Linked DNA regions of Saccharomyces cerevisiae S288C. The gene in region 1 interacts genetically with each later gene. Each region holds a gene or a part of one and is shown on either strand. Other genes may lie near its edges. The genes, in order: JID1, CRG1, ALT2 and HEM25.

What was found.
Region 2: mutations in JID1 (region 1) and CRG1 together harm fitness more than expected from each alone (negative genetic interaction), as found in Saccharomyces cerevisiae (2 studies listed by BioGRID).
Region 3: mutations in JID1 (region 1) and ALT2 together harm fitness more than expected from each alone (negative genetic interaction), as found in Saccharomyces cerevisiae (2 studies listed by BioGRID).
Region 4: mutations in JID1 (region 1) and HEM25 together harm fitness more than expected from each alone (negative genetic interaction), as found in Saccharomyces cerevisiae (2 studies listed by BioGRID).

What each region holds. Positions count from the first base shown.
Region 1 is NC_001148.4:675,130-679,057, forward strand, and holds JID1 (Jid1p), read right to left. Parts: upstream 1,754-3,928; coding exon 848-1,753; downstream 1-847. Other genes in the region: chorismate mutase ARO7, read right to left, coding at 1-502; FCY1 (cytosine deaminase), read left to right, coding at 2,036-2,512; YPR063C (uncharacterized protein), read right to left, coding at 2,683-3,064, 3,151-3,191; YPR064W (uncharacterized protein), read left to right, coding at 3,822-3,928. UniProt on the Saccharomyces cerevisiae protein: Probable chaperone.
Region 2 is NC_001140.6:516,950-521,154, reverse strand, and holds CRG1 (S-adenosylmethionine-dependent methyltransferase), read right to left. Parts: upstream 1,719-4,205; coding exon 843-1,718; downstream 1-842. Other genes in the region: YHR210C (aldose 1-epimerase superfamily protein), read left to right, coding at 1-443; branched-chain-amino-acid transaminase BAT1, read right to left, coding at 2,442-3,623. UniProt on the Saccharomyces cerevisiae protein: Probable S-adenosylmethionine-dependent methyltransferase which mediates cantharidin resistance.
Region 3 is NC_001136.10:677,247-681,776, reverse strand, and holds ALT2 (alanine transaminase ALT2), read left to right. Parts: upstream 1-2,012; coding exon 2,013-3,536; downstream 3,537-4,530. Other genes in the region: PDS1 (securin), read left to right, coding at 160-1,281; replication fork barrier binding protein FOB1, read right to left, coding at 3,975-4,530. UniProt on the Saccharomyces cerevisiae protein: Inactive alanine aminotransferase. Forms a catalytically active Schiff base with PLP, but lacks alanine transaminase activity, probably due to an altered structural conformation of the dimeric enzyme.
Region 4 is NC_001136.10:245,324-249,372, forward strand, and holds HEM25 (Hem25p), read right to left. Parts: upstream 2,290-4,049; coding exon 1,366-2,289; downstream 1-1,365. Other genes in the region: EXP1 (Exp1p), read right to left, coding at 1-259; YFH1 (ferroxidase), read left to right, coding at 600-1,124; CYK3 (Cyk3p), read left to right, coding at 3,258-4,049. UniProt on the Saccharomyces cerevisiae protein: Mitochondrial glycine transporter that imports glycine into the mitochondrial matrix.

The DNA.
Region 1 (3,928 bases):
TGGCTTCAGCAACAAACTTGCCAAAGTGGATTCTCCTACTCAAGCTTTGCAAACATTCTATATCTCTAGTGGCAACAGAACCGAAGTTATTCTTATCATCACCATCTCTTTTCGAAATTAATGGTATAATCTTTTCAATATAAACTTTTTTTATTTTATCATTGTAATTAACTTCTGGGGCATAAGGCGCCAAAATTTGTGGGTAGTTAATGCTCGGTAAGAATGATTTCTGAATCTTGTCAGGAAAGAAGGGAGTTTCATCAGGTGATTCGAATCTTCTGATGCGAGAATGCGCAATTTCAAGATTTGAAAGAGCCCAATCCAAGAAAGATCCTTTAAAATTCGGAATTTCTAAACCTGGATGGTTTGCCTCATAAACTGAAGGACATGTGGCGAAATGCGACCTCTCAATAAATTTGAAGATGATCGAATCCTCCATTCTAACTAATTCATCTCTAATATTTTGTAGATTTAAAACAGTTTCTGGTTTTGTGAAATCCATATCTTATACCAATTTTATGCAGGATGCTGAGTGCTATTTGTTAGCAAAACGGAATCGATGTTTCAACTTTTCAATACTTTTTTTCTTCTTTTCTTCGAACTTCGAAGATTATAGAGATCCATTGAAAATTTACGATAAAGGAAATGCAACACGAAGTTTGAAAAAAAGTTGATATTGAAAAAAAAAAAAAAAGAGAACCAAAAAAAAATTAAAAAACGTGAAAACGATGGTTTAACAACTTTTTTCGAATTTGGTATACGTGGAAAAACGAATGTATAGATGCATTTTTAAAGAATATATATAAAATTTAGTAATTGTATTCCGCGAGCGGCGCAATAGGTGATTTCATTTAGCTGCTTTCAGTTTGCGTATCATTTCTTCATTGATCTTGGCTTCTCTATCTAAATCCTCTTTCGACTTGTAAAGTCCCCAAGTTCTAAACCATAAGAACCGCCTCAATCTGGAAAATTTGTCAGTATCAAGACCATAATTCGTGTATGACTGAATCAAATGTAATCCACTTTCGTCATGAGTAAATTCGGCCTTGCTCAGAGACTCCTGGATTTTGGCTAACAACGCAGTCCCTTCGATGCATATAGCTAGGCCACAAATTATGCCAATAACGGTCCATGGGTTGATGTTTTCTTGAATTCTTTCGTTTTTCATGCTATTTGCGTCTTCCCAAGTCCCAGCGTTCCAGTATTCATACTGCGCGTTAGAGTGGTAGCCATAAGAGCCGGCATATTGGTAATTTTCAGTATTAACGTTAGAACGTGGTGAATACGATGTGGTCCAGCCTTGCCTCGTTGTGTCATATACGATCTTTTTCTTTGGGTCACAAAGAATATCATATGCTTGAGAGATGACTTTAAATCTATGTAGTTTTTCGCTTGATGTTAGCAGCAGCGGTGATTTACTATCACTGTTGGTAACCTTTTCTGAGCTAAATATTTGAATGTTATCGGAATGGTCAGGGTGGTACAATTTTACATAACGATGATATTTTTTTTTTAACGACTTCTTGTCCAGTTTAGGATTTCCAGATCCGGCCTTTGGAATGCCAAAAATATCATAGGGAGTTGGATCTGCCAACTCAGGCCATTGTTCATCCCTTATCGTAAGTTTTCTATTGCCATTTTTATCGTTCGCTGTAGCATACTTAGCTATAAAAGTGATTTGTGGGGGACACTTTTCTACACATGATAAGTGCCACTTGAATAAAAATGGGTATACGAACTTATGGTGTAGCATAACAAATATATTGCAAGTAGTGACCTATGGTGTGTAGATATACGTACAGTTAGTTACGAGCCTAAAGACACAACGTGTTTGTTAATTATACTGTCGCTGTAATATCTTCTCTTCCATTATCACCGGTCATTCCTTGCAGGGGCGGTAGTACCCGGAGACCCTGAACTTTTCTTTTTTTTTTTGCGAAATTAAAAAGTTCATTTTCAATTCGACAATGAGATCTACAAGCCATTGTTTTATGTTGATGAGAGCCAGCTTAAAGAGTTAAAAATTTCATAGCTAATGGTGACAGGGGGAATGGCAAGCAAGTGGGATCAGAAGGGTATGGACATTGCCTATGAGGAGGCGGCCTTAGGTTACAAAGAGGGTGGTGTTCCTATTGGCGGATGTCTTATCAATAACAAAGACGGAAGTGTTCTCGGTCGTGGTCACAACATGAGATTTCAAAAGGGATCCGCCACACTACATGGTGAGATCTCCACTTTGGAAAACTGTGGGAGATTAGAGGGCAAAGTGTACAAAGATACCACTTTGTATACGACGCTGTCTCCATGCGACATGTGTACAGGTGCCATCATCATGTATGGTATTCCACGCTGTGTTGTCGGTGAGAACGTTAATTTCAAAAGTAAGGGCGAGAAATATTTACAAACTAGAGGTCACGAGGTTGTTGTTGTTGACGATGAGAGGTGTAAAAAGATCATGAAACAATTTATCGATGAAAGACCTCAGGATTGGTTTGAAGATATTGGTGAGTAGAGCACGCAGCACGCTGTATTTACGTATTTAATTTTATATATTTGTGCATACACTACTAGGGAAGACTTGAAAAAAACCTAGGAAATGAAAAAACGACACAGGAAGTCCCGTATTTACTATTTTTTCCTTCCTTTTGATGGGGCAGGGCGGAAATAGAGGATAGGATAAGCCTACTGCTTAGCTGTTTCCGTCTCTACTTCGGTAGTTGTCTCAATTGTCGTTTCAGTATTACCTTTAGAGCCGCTAGACGATGGTTGAGCTATTTGTTGAGGGAAAACTAAGTTCATGTAACACACGCATAACCCGATTAAACTCATGAATAGCTTGATTGCAGGAGGCTGGTCCATTGGAGATGGTGCCTTATTTTCCTTATAGGCAACGATGATGTCTTCGTCGGTGTTCAGGTAGTAGTGTACACTCTGAATCAGGGAGAACCAGGCAATGAACTTGTTCCTCAAGAAAATAGCGGCCATAGGCATGGATTGGTTAACCACACCAGATATGCTTGGTGTGGCAGAATATAGTCCTTTTGGTGGCGCAATTTTCTTGTACCTGTGGTAGAAAGGGAGCGGTTGAACTGTTAGTATATATTGGCAATATCAGCAAATTTGAAAGAAAATTGTCGGTGAAAAACATACGAAACACAAAGGTCGGGCCTTGCAACGTTATTCAAAGTCATTGTTTAGTTGAGGAGGTAGCAGCGGAGTATATGTATTCCTTTTTTTTGCCTATGGATGTTGTACCATGCCCATTCTGCTCAAGCTTTTGTTAAAATTATTTTTCAGTATTTTTTCTTCCATGTTGCGCGTTACGAGAACAGAAGCGACAGATAACCGCAATCATACAACTAGCGCTACTGCGGGGTGTAAAAAGCACAAGAACTAAGCCAAGATCACAACAGTTATCGATAAAATAGCAGTGTTTGCATGGCCATTGAGAAGGACAACATTGGCGTGCGCGCCAATGTTGTCTCACCATGTAGCTCCAAACGAGTTGTAAGAGACGGACCGCTCACGCTTCCGAAGCGGTCAGAAAACGCTTCCCAGTATGCAGTTGACCTACATTCAACCTGCAAATATTGCTTTGCTTCAAGAAATGATTACACAGACGTCTATTTTCTTCTACATAATGCACGAAACTTGGGCATTTAGTCATGTAGCCGCCTAGCGAGCCTGGGTGCCGTCCTATCTCCTTTGTTCGTGCAAAGAGACAGGAACACACACTGCGTTCTCTTGCGGCCGGTCTGGCGGACTCAGGGGTGCGGCGTTTGCTTAACCGGAGGGAATAATAAAATCGGGGTGACGCAAGTATGAAGTCATGTGTGCTTAGCAATTACGTAGAGGGATTAGAAATAATAGTGTGCGGTTATCGGAACCGGCTCTTGTTCCCGTTTAGAGCAACCCAGGTGCAGGCGTA
Region 2 (4,205 bases), on another chromosome or scaffold:
GGCTCTGCTCAGATAAATCATTGGAAGTAAGCGAAGGAGCACTAATTCCAACCGGTAAAATCGTTCAAAGAAAAATTGCTACTTTTGACTCCTCCAAACCTACCATTCTGCAGGATGATGGCCCGATTTATGACTACGCTTTCATTGTTGATGAAAATAAGAATTTGAAAACGACAGACTCAGTAAGTGTAAACAAGCTCGTCCCTGCCTTCAAGGCTTATCATCCGGCATCACGACTTTCATTGGAGGTTTCAACAACAGAACCAACTGTCCTATTTTACACAGGTGACAACTTGTGTGATGGATTTACGCCGAGATCTGGCTTTGCCGTTGAACAAGGCAGATATGTTGACGCAATCAACCGTGATGGATGGAGAGACTGCGTTCTTTTGAGACGTGGTGAGGTATATACTTCTAAGACTCGATATCGTTTTGCGGTGTAGGCACCAAATTTAGTTGTTTACTTTGCACTGTCGCATTATTTTTCTATAAATTGAGCTTTTTATAATGAGATATGATCCGGAAACAGCTTTCTGAAGTGCATATGTTATAGTTAATATTAAGAATTTTTTGAGACTTTATTATGTTACCATGATTGCATTATCTTTTAATGTTAACAGTAACAAGTTTACGTATCGCTTTAAAACATAATTACATTCAGAGGTCGGAATTTAGAGCCAATAAAATTTTTAGAGCATATGTTGACGGTTTTAAATTACTCCCAACTGCGCAACAACACCTTATTTTCTTTTTGCCATATTTTAATATTTATTAGCATTTGGGAAATATTTAAAAAAAGAAAAAAATCAGCTTTTTATATATTTCTTTTAATTTAGTAAACCTCATTCTCTTTTCCTACATAAGTAATAAAACGTTGACCACTCTATTTTTAAAGGTACATTCAAATCTTCACAATGACAGATTTCTTTGAGCTCGTTAATGAATATATCGGCAATATCCGGTTTCGAGGGATTATCTCTAGCCCAAGAAGTGTATATGCTCCAGCTTTTCACAAACTCTTTAAATTGATTGAGAGTAATAGCTGCTCTCCAGAGAAACTGACTGTTTTCAGCCGTTACTGTTGATGCATTTGGGTCCGAAGGACTGTAAATTGTGACTTCAATATCTCCAAATCGATCTGACAATAAAGAACGTAGCTTTTCACCACCGTAATTCAACAAAATTTCCCGTTGGTTGTCGTTCAGATATTTACCCATATAATCCTTGCTCCATCCATATTTGTAATATACATTCAAGGCTTCGGGAAAGTCCACAAATTCCGGCTGAATATAAAACCAGAATGCAAAAGTTCCATCACTTCGTAATATAGAGGAAACCTGCTGAAACAGCCTTTCTAAATTGCACCAATGGATGGCTTCTGCTGAAATAACCATATCTACACTTTCTGGTCGAATGCTGGATAAATCTTCACCAGGCGCATTAATAAATCTAATCTTTTTATCTAATCTACGTTCATTTGTTTCTTTCTCAGCAATCGAAAGCATAGCAGAAGAAGGATCAATCCCAATCACTTCCTTAAAATAGGGTTCAACGACAAAAGTTGCTTTTCCTGTGCCACATCCAATATCAACCAAACTTTTGCGTGTGCCTTTGTGAAATTTCATTATCTCATTGACTAAAGATAAAGGGTAAGAGGGACGTACGTTATTATAGTGAGCAGATTCAAAATTTTTGTTTAAATAACTAGTTTTAGGCATTCTGGATTCTTCCATTGACAGAAGACTGGCTTTGAAGATGTACTGAGTGTAAAAGGGTTAACTTGAATTTGCCCCTTTAGTTCGTGCCGTTTGTTTATGTTTATATACGTTCCCTTGGGGCCGCTAATTAGAATGCTAAATATAGATCGTGGAAAACTTTCACTACAAAGCTTCTCGTTGTTGTGTTGGCTGAACATATACTAATGAACTGTTTAAATCAGGATTATGGACCGGTGAGGGAACATAATCATCTCTTCATGCCTGAACCTGTATGCCACGATGATGGAAGGCATACCATTATTCATACTGTACTTGCACCTCTTCTGAACTACGCTAGAATTTATTCTTCAGAAAATACCAGGGATATCCTTATAGATTTTTTTTTTTTGGCATAATCAACTCTCTTGGGTATCTTGCCGCATTCATTTTACATGTAAAGTCCAGCGAGATACCTTGGCAACTAAATTACAAGCAGTCTCTATGAAATTCAATAATGTGCCAAGTTGTTAGGTCAACAATTTCAAAAAGCGTAAGAAGCCGCACAATGGCTTGCATAAGCTATAATAATAATAGTAATCCAATATTTCTTATAATAAATAAACTCAACAGGAATTGTAAAAAAGTATGTATCTATGTGAATAAAGTGAGAGAAAAACAGATCCTCTGAGAGGAATTCTCGTTTTTTTTTTTTGGGGGGGGAGGGGATGTTTACCTTCATTATCATTAGTTCAAGTCGGCAACAGTTTTTGACCAGTTACCATAATTGACTCTACCGTATTGGATATCAGCAATCCATTGAGCAACTTGCTTGGTCAATGCACCACATTGTTCACCAGGCAATAGTGGAACATGAATATCTTCGTTGTTCCAGCCAATTTCCTTGATAGGTGAAACGACAGCAGCAGTACCAGAACCGAAGGCTTCTAATAGTTCACCTTGTTTTGCTCTAGTGGCGACTTCAGTAATAGTGTAATAACGCTCGTTGATGTCCCATTCTTGAGGATCTAGTTTGTCACGAGCCAATGTTAAAACAGAGTCTCTGGTAACACCTTCTAAAATGGTACCATCTAATGGAGCGGTAACCAATTCCTTCTTGCCAGTGACTTTGTTGAGGAAAACGAAGAACACGTTCATAGTACCAACCTCAGTGATGTTCTTTTCTGGGCCGAACAACCATAGATTTTGTTGGTACCCTCTTTTGGCAGCTTGTAGTTGAGGTAAGATGCATGGGGCATAGTTAGCACCCAATTTTTTGTCGCCAACACCACCTGGCCAAGCTCTTGTAGCATAGTCTGTTGCTTCAAGACGTACGGCTTTGAAACCAGTCTTATAATAAGGACCGACTGGAGAAGTAATAACATAAAGAAGAGCCTCGGAGGGAGTGCCAACACCTAAACCCTTGGATGTACCAATCATTGTTGGTCTGATGTATAATGAGTAACCATTACCTTGAGGAACCAAGTGTTTATCTTGTTCGATCAATTTCCCGGTAAGTTTGATCAATTCTTCAGATTCGAAAGTTGGCAAACAAATTCTAGCGGCAGACTTGTTCATACGGGCCATGTTCTTATCCGGACGGAACATGGTGATAGTATTTTGAGGAGTTCTGTAGGCTTTCAAACCTTCAAATAATTCAAATGCATAATGGAATACACAAGCAGATGGGTCAAGAGAAAGATTACCGTAAGGCTTGATGTGTGGAGTGCCCCACCCTTCTTTGGCTGACCAAGGAATGGTCAACATATGATCGGTGAATGTCTGGCCGAACACTAATTCTTCATTTGGTCTTGGCTTGGATGGATTTGGGTTTCTAGTAATTTTTAGTTTGGATGCATCTAATGGGGCACCAGTAGCGAGTGTTCTGATGGAGAATTTCCCCAACTTCAAGGAATGTCTCTGCAACATGTTTTAGTATGCTAAGGTTCTAGCTGATTTTGCGTTTATAGGGTGATTTATTCTAACGAAAACATGTAGTTGTTACCACTAGCTCTCTTTATAGTGCCATTTTTTTCAGATGCTTTTTTTTTTTCAAAGCTTAAAGGCCGGTACCGGCAAACACAATAGAATTTTGAGTCATAAGAAGGCAATATGGATCGGATGGGCCATTAAACAAAAAGAGAGCCAATTCATCAGTAATAATAGCGACAGCCGGTATGAAATCTGCACAAAGTATCAACCGCCTGGCCTCTATCAGTAAGATCATTCAATCAACCGTACACGCGGTACTTATCCAGCGTTAACATTTACGCTTTACAGTTCAGCTAAAAAAGAACACATTATCTAGTTAATGCCTGGGAAGGCCCTGGCAAGATACACTTTATCTAAATTATCTACTGCTCGCAAGGCAATGCTATCAATTTGAGAAGTGCAGAAGGAAATGCCATCAAGCTTGTGGTGCGCATTTCACTTTTAAGGATAATAACAGAATTTAATGGCTTGATATGGACGGGCGGTTTGCGAGCCTTACTATTGATAGGAGTATTCGTC
Region 3 (4,530 bases), on another chromosome or scaffold:
GTCAAAAAGAAAAACAAACAAAATAAACAAACAAAATAAATGCAGCTTTAAATCAATATTCGGCGAAGGCAAGTAACGGTTGCTAGCGGTTTTTCCCATTCACATACTATTACACTTCTGCGGTACCAAGCTAGATTAAGTGCTAGATAATAAACCTTTATGATGCCAGCTAACGAAGATAAAGAGAATAATATCGTATATACAGGGAATGAAAGTTCCGGCATTAACTTTCCACAGACGCCGGCTCACTTGCTGAAAAGGTCGCACTCTAATATTTTAAAACCACCTGTAAGATTGGACCAACTCAAAAGGGATGCGAACAGCAACAATGGCAACACATTAAAGTACATACAAGGAGGGAAGGAGGTGTCACCCACAAAAAGGTTGCATACCCATGCGCAACAACAAGGAAGATTGCCTCTGGCAGCAAAAGACAACAATAGATCGAAAAGCTTTATTTTTCCCGAAACTTCTAATCAGAGTAAAGATGCAGACTTACCACAACTACAGAATACACTATCTATACGCAAAAACGACCAACTCAGGAAACTTTCGCAAATTTCTCGCAGTCGTAGTAGGGCCAACCATAATGATTTGTTAAGCAATTCAAGAAAGTTACAAAAGTACGGTTCTGTCCTTGGTTATAATGCTTTACCTAAAATGAAAAGTCTAGTTTTAAAAGATCTTGCAGATTCAGGTAAAAATGAAGAGAGTTCCGACGATGATGAAGGTAATGAAGATTCCGAGAGTAAACTTGGCAAAAAACTCCAAAGTGCACTTTTAAAACAGGATTCCTCCGACGGTGAAAATGAATTAAATGGTGGCCTAGGACTATTTAATGAGCAAGGTGGTCTGCAACAACTCATAAAGAACTCCACGAAGAATGAGCAAAAAACTAAAAACGATAAAAGTGATAAAACTGATGACTATGATATCGAAATAGCACCACAGAGGCAGGAGCCGTTACCGTATGTACCAGAAGGCTATTCCCCATTTCAACAAGATGATATTGAAAAGCTGAAGACGTTCAACTCACCATATAAGCTTGACTTGGAAGACGAAGATGACACCCCAGATAAAGTTGATTTACTCCCACTAGAACAAATTGATGAAGAAGGCGAAAAAGATGAGACTGAGTGCATCACTCGGAATCAAGAAGAAGGTGCAGCGTTACCACTGCTGTCTAAGAACTTCAAAGAAGTTGCCGCCGTCCCAACCATGGAGTTAGTGTACAGCGAAGAAGGCCTCGATCCTGAAGAACTAGAGGACTTAGTTACTTAGATCCACTGCTCATTCACATACACACAACATATATACACGTATATACAGATACTTTATAACATACAATTCTGGTTAAAAGCGGTTGCTCCTGCCGCCGGGATTTAATCTGCGGCCTCACCCATACCTCAACTACCGCCATTGTTCGTACGTTTTAAATGGCTTCGCTTCACCCTTGATTGGCAAAGGGTCCAAGAGGGATCACATCACGATACTATTGTTTCTACTAATGTGCTGCGGGCTGATGTCCTCCACACGTCTTCAATTGCTTCTCTTTATGGGTTCTCAAAGTACTTCGTCATAATTACTTCATTATACCTAAGAAAATAATTTCATTTTTTTTCTGAATTTTTTAGCAGAAAAAAAAAAAGTTCAAGTTTGGCCTCATTCGCAATATTTTCTCCATGGAAACGGCTTGTATCTTGAGGCTTCTCCTACTTGTTTGGCGATTTTATTTTATTTTTCCTACTCTTATGGTCCCATATGTACATCTACATATCTCTTCAAATTACCAATACACTTTTAGGATAGCTAAATTTACTACTTCGTGTGGGAACTATATTCTGTTCACTTTTCTTTTTGATCCTTTCTTGACTGACATCATCCTTTTCTCATTCAGTAAATACCCCAATATTTCCTCATATCTCTAGAGGCATAAAAGATAAGAATAAAGGGAAGGAGCGCCACAGTAGTGTTGTTTTTGTAAGTGGTAAACACAGAAGAAGTAAGAACACATGACAATGACACACCAACAGGATTTGAAAGGTGTGTTCACCGCAAAGGATTTGGATTTTAAGCCCGCTGGCAAGATTACTAAAAAAGATTTGAATACAGGTGTCACTAAGGCAGAATATGCTGTAAGAGGAGCTATTCCAACCAGAGCTGACGAGCTAAAAGAGGAATTGAAAAAAAACCCAGAAGTTTTGCCTTTCGATGATATTATCAATGCGAACATTGGTAATCCGCAGCAACTGGATCAGAAGCCTTTGACCTTTACCAGGCAAGTACTGGCCATCCTGGAGTACCCGGAAATTTTACGAGTAGGCCATAATGAACTGGCTTCTTTGAACTTGTTTTCCAGGGACGCCTTGGAAAGAGCTGAGCGCCTCTTGAATGATATTGGCGGTTCTATAGGGGCATATTCGCATTCTCAAGGTGTGCCAGGAATAAGGCAAACAGTTGCTGACTTCATTACTAGAAGAGACGGCGGTGAGCCCGCTACACCGGAAGATATTTATTTAACCACTGGCGCTTCGTCCGCGGCAACTTCTTTGTTATCTTTATTGTGTAAAGATTCTCAAACAGGCCTGCTGATTCCAATTCCGCAGTATCCGCTTTATACTGCATCCGCATCTCTTTTCAATGCACAAGTGCTGCCATACTACTTAGATGAGGAGTCAAATTGGTCTACAAACAGCGACGAAATTGAAAAAGTAGTGCAAGATGCTTTGAAAAAACAGATCAGACCATCTGTGCTGATAGTTATTAATCCAGGTAACCCAACCGGTGCAGTTCTTTCTGAAGAAACCATTGCCAGGATCTGTTTGATCGCTGCGAAATACGGCATTACAATCATTTCTGATGAGGTCTATCAAGAAAACATTTTCAACGATGTTAAATTTCATTCGATGAAGAAAGTCCTAAGAAAATTGCAGCATCTTTATCCAGGAAAATTCGATAACGTTCAGCTCGCCTCTTTACACTCCATTTCTAAAGGATTCATGGATGAGTGCGGCCAAAGAGGCGGTTACATGGAAATTATTGGGTTTTCTCAAGAAATAAGAGATGCTCTTTTCAAACTCATGTCTATATCCATATGTTCTGTTGTCACAGGACAAGCTGTGGTTGATTTAATGGTCAAACCACCCCAGCCTGGAGACGAGTCCTATGAACAAGATCATGACGAAAGGCTGAAAATTTTTCATGAAATGCGTACGAGAGCAAACTTATTGTACGAGACGTTTAAGGAACTAGAGGGTATCGAATGCCAAAAACCTCAGGGTGCAATGTATCTTTTCCCTAGGCTTGTTTTACCTAAGAAAGCTCTTTGTGAAAGCGAACGCCTTGGCATCGAACCTGATGAGTTCTATTGCACATCTTTGCTAGAATCTACAGGTATTTGTACTGTCCCAGGGTCTGGGTTCGGACAAAGACCCGGGACTTATCATGTGCGAACAACGTTTTTGGCTCCAGGGACTAAATGGATTCAAGACTGGAAAGAATTTCATCAAGATTTCTTCAGCAAGTATCGTAATTGAATGAAAAAAAAAAACTAATGATAATGGCTTTCTATTTGTTTTGCATCCATGGTGGGGGTGAAGTTTAAATTTGTAATAGTATACATGCATCATTCTTTACTAAGGGAAATAAGGAAAAGTATATATCTGCCTCTTGTAATATTGTTCAAGGAAATAAATTTTGGAGCATTCCTCTGCATCTATTGTTCAATTAAAAAAAAAAAAAAAAAAAAAAAAAAAAAAAAAAAGTAATTATTCATATAAAACCACCTTGCGGGCAAGATCATATTATCCAAGTTGATACTTATTTAAAAATATAAAAATTTTTTAACCGCGTACATTAAATACAGGGTCATATACAGGAAGAGCTTTCAACACCTTTTTGAATACTTTATATGCAATAGGTGCTTTTTTTTTTCACCTATGGTGACTCCTCCTTTCATTCTATCCTACATATTATTACAATTCCATTGATGTGCCAAAGTCTCTTGTTTGATCTCCATTACCCTGTTGGTCTAATTTCTGTCGTTTTGTTGACGGCGATTCCAGAGTTTGATAGTAGGAAGTTTCTGGTCTAGTTATTTCGACACTTTGATCTACTTGTGATGCACCGTCACTTTCTTTTTGATCCCCTTTTTCAGGCTCTTCTGTTCCCTGCATTGGGGCTGCCACGCCGGTGGACTCTATTCGGTCCTCATCGACATTATGAGGAGGCTTTTCTTCGGGAGTTAAGGTATTAGGTTCAAATTCGCCCTCTGAAGAATCATGTGCCAAATCATCATACTCATCGATATAGTTTTTTTCAGTTAGATCAAATTGTTTTTGCACTTCTTCTTCAAAGTTATCATTTCCTATATTGTTATTATGAAGAATTCCATTATTGTTACAGCTATTATCCGCTTCATTAGCAAGGGCAAAAGTATTGACATCTTCCAAATATATAAGACCTTTTCCACCTGCCATCTTGAACATATTACGGGAATATGTGTTTTCTATAACCCTTTCTCTCTTAGTC
Region 4 (4,049 bases), on another chromosome or scaffold:
TTCTGGAAGCGGAAGAGGCACTTGCACTGTCATGGCCAAGGCTTTCCTCCGTGTCCTTCAGATCAAACTTTAATACATTGGTATGATCAAGTTTTTTTTTCAAATATTCCCTCTTACCAAGCTTACCAGTCGCTGACTGTGCTGTTGCAGACGATTTCGGTTTTGTTAGTTTGAATGTACCGATGCCAGAAAACAATGGCAACAATGCAATGAAAGCAATCACAATAATGAGAAGTAAAAAATAACCGTATAGATTCATGCTCCGGACTTATTGACTTAGGCACCGAGAACTTTAAGGGAATTCGTCCTTTTCTTTTACTAAACGTAGATCATGGGTGCTTGATTTAGAGATACAACTCATCGCACTTGACAAATTTCAAAAAACCGTATTCAGTGATCATATTTGAAAAGTCACGTTTCTTACAATGTCCACATAGCCCTATAGGATATGAGGGATTAGTAACCGTAAATGATCTCTTTGAATCGCATTTTTAATTGAAAGCAACCTCGCTTGAAGACACTTACAAATCGTTACGTACTACTGAATACCAGAAAGATAGTATTTCAAAAAAAACTAAGCGAGAAGATAGAGTGTAGCAATGATTAAGCGGTCTCTCGCAAGTTTAGTTCGAGTCAGCTCTGTAATGGGCAGAAGATATATGATAGCAGCGGCAGGAGGAGAACGTGCCAGATTTTGTCCAGCTGTAACAAATAAAAAGAATCATACTGTAAATACTTTTCAGAAGAGATTTGTAGAATCCTCGACAGATGGTCAAGTTGTGCCTCAAGAAGTGTTAAACTTACCGCTTGAAAAATACCATGAAGAGGCAGATGACTACCTAGACCATTTACTAGATAGCTTAGAAGAACTGAGTGAGGCTCATCCGGATTGTATACCTGATGTAGAGCTAAGCCATGGCGTAATGACATTGGAAATTCCAGCTTTTGGAACGTATGTAATAAACAAACAGCCTCCAAATAAGCAAATTTGGTTGGCATCACCATTGTCCGGGCCTAACAGATTTGACCTTCTCAATGGGGAGTGGGTTTCGTTAAGAAATGGCACAAAGCTAACAGATATACTTACTGAAGAAGTTGAGAAGGCCATTTCTAAAAGCCAATAAGTGCACTTATCCATCGACTCTCTTATATTTATTTAAACACTTGTAACGCATCCAATCTATTTCATAGTTAGAGTCTCTCTTCCTTGTTATTGATATGATTTTTCTTTTGTACCGTGTGTGTATGTATGTATGTATGAACGTACTACTAAGCTTCAACGTCACTCTATAAAGAAACTAAAAAGACACGTATTTATACCTTTTTTGAAGAATGCGAGATTGCAATGAAATATGTGTCTATTTTTTACATGAATCTTTTGACCAACTCCTCATATATACCCCACGCAATACCTGCACTGAAGGCCTTTCTTGCCAGCCTCATGCTTAACCCGCTAAATAACTTCAGCACATTTTCATTTTTAACTATAGATGTAAATGTATTGAAGGAGTTGGTAAATTTTGATGGTTCCAATTGCATTCTCGTTTTTATGGTGTCGAACGGTGCCGTTACTGTGGTGGCTAAACTGGCGGATAGTACGGCGCTTGTTGTATTTACTGTTGTAGAGGTATAAGTAGTAAATCCTCCCTCAGGATTGTAATGTATAAACCTAGAAGGTAATACCATGGGCAGTAATTGTTTCGATTTTTCATATAGCAGCACATACAAACCTGCATAGGGAGCGTCTCTTAAACAAGTAGCTCCAAACCCTCTGAAAAATCCAAAAAGTCCTTCCTTAGTATATATATGGGTAATTGCCTCCTTTAAACTGGAGTAATTGTACAGAGTAGACTCATAACGGACTTTAATGACGGTGATAGGCATGGTTATATAACCTACCAAACCTCTTGCAAATGCACCTGTTAGTAAATTTTCATACATCGTTAATCGTGGTAAGCTACTGCTCTTGTTATATACAATGTTTGAATCGTTTGTTAATGAAGGCACAGCATTCCTCCTCTTTGCCAAAGATGAGCGCATAAGGTTCAAACATGATAAATATAAGGCGCTGCCTATTGATGTTCGTAATGCTGAAGGTAATGTACCTCTCCATAGCTGTAGAGGGCTGTCTATCTCTTTCAAATTTTTCCATAATGTAGCTTTCTTGTCTTGCTGGATTCTCGTCTTCAAAAGGTCTAAAGGTTGCAACGCAACAGCAGATGTTAGCCCACCGAAAAAGCCCCCGATCAAATGCGATGAATTTCTTGGCTTAGTTGCTTGCTCAGTCATGTATGCTGCTTCACAAATTGTGTACCTTCTAGTTGTTCCCGCTGTGCTATTTGCTTTTCTTTTGGTATAAGCTTATCCTTTTACTTCAATCACCCCCTCGTGAGAATTTAATGTGGAAGCAATATACTACTACACCGTTGACTTGGAGATTTTCAAGCTCAATTTTGCGTTCACTCAAATCTAAGTCATTTGAAACAAACACAACTTCTAAATATAGCAAGAGAAATAGGTCAATAACGCAGACACATATTTAACATTTAAGATACTGATAGATATTCAAAAGGAAACAGTCACCACAAGCGTTGGAGATTCAGCAAAACCCAAAAAGCAAGAAATTACAAAATCATTGTCTCGCTGATGAAACACCATCCTTTAGTGTTTGTATCCATTCAGCGTACCCTCTTGTTCTTGAGACTGGTGAATTTCGTAACTAGTTGAATATTGCAGGGTTTTCTTTTTCTAAATATGTATTAATGGTGGTGCCTGTCAGGGCGCGATAGAAGTGAAAAATTCTCGAATGGCTGGTTTGGTGGCCATTGAGCTGATCTGAAAAGGATGGTGAGATCAAGCTTGATATCTTGCATGCTTGGACCAACTATTTAAAATAAGTATTGAAAAAGGAGAATTTAGTTTCATTTACTCTCTACAATTGGATATTATACAGTTAAAACAAGAGAAAAGGCCAAAATTAACGGGACTCTGTTTGCATAACATATCTATAATATCAGTTTGATCTACTGCTGTTAAACTAATTTTTCTTTCTTCTGATTTCACTTCGTCCTTAATATTTTAACACATTAACTGTTTGCTATAAGCATACATTGCTTTTACCACTTTTTTTAATAATATCTTTTTATCCGTATTAATTACCGCATATAATTTTAGTTCGAAACATTAAAGGTCAGTCCCGAAGTTATAATTATAACATTTAATTCCTGAATTTACCGTATTACATTTAAATTTGCATAATGGCCACTAACTTAACATCTTTGAAGCCACCATTTAAGGTGAAGGCCAGGTATGGTTGGTCGGGCCAAACTAAAGGCGACTTAGGCTTTCTGGAGGGAGATATTATGGAAGTCACAAGGATTGCCGGTTCTTGGTTCTACGGCAAGTTATTGAGAAACAAAAAATGTTCTGGGTATTTTCCTCATAACTTCGTCATACTATTAGAGGAGAGATTAAATTCGAGCACTGAAAATGGTAGGCAACCTTCAAAAATAGTAGAAAGTTTTGAAAAATCAAATAAAGTTGTTATTCCACCAGTACCATCAAGGTATTCTGACGAGAGGCCAAGGCCTAAAAAGAAGCTATCTTCATCAATGCCCAATTCACCCAAGAAGCCGGTAGATTCTTTGACAAAGGCTAGAAAGGCAAAATCAAAAGAAATGGTAAATGAAAAAAATATCTATAATACCCAATCCTCTCGACATCATAATAACTCAGCTCCAAATTTACCTTTGGCTAGCCATAGTAAGCCTCAAGTACGAAATTTCGAGGAGTCCATGAACAATCCGTTACCACCTCTACCGCCACTACCAGATTTGGACAATATGAGAAAGACAGATAAAAGGGCACCAAAGAAATCATATTCTGCAAACGATTTACATATGGCACGTTCTTCAAGAGAATATAACTATTACAAAGACAACCAGAAATTCTATGATGGGTTTATCCCAGAAAAGAGATATTCTTTAGAAGAGGACTCTATTTCATCAGGCCTGTTTTCAAACTCTCAGTACTTAAATGATTCTGCTTGT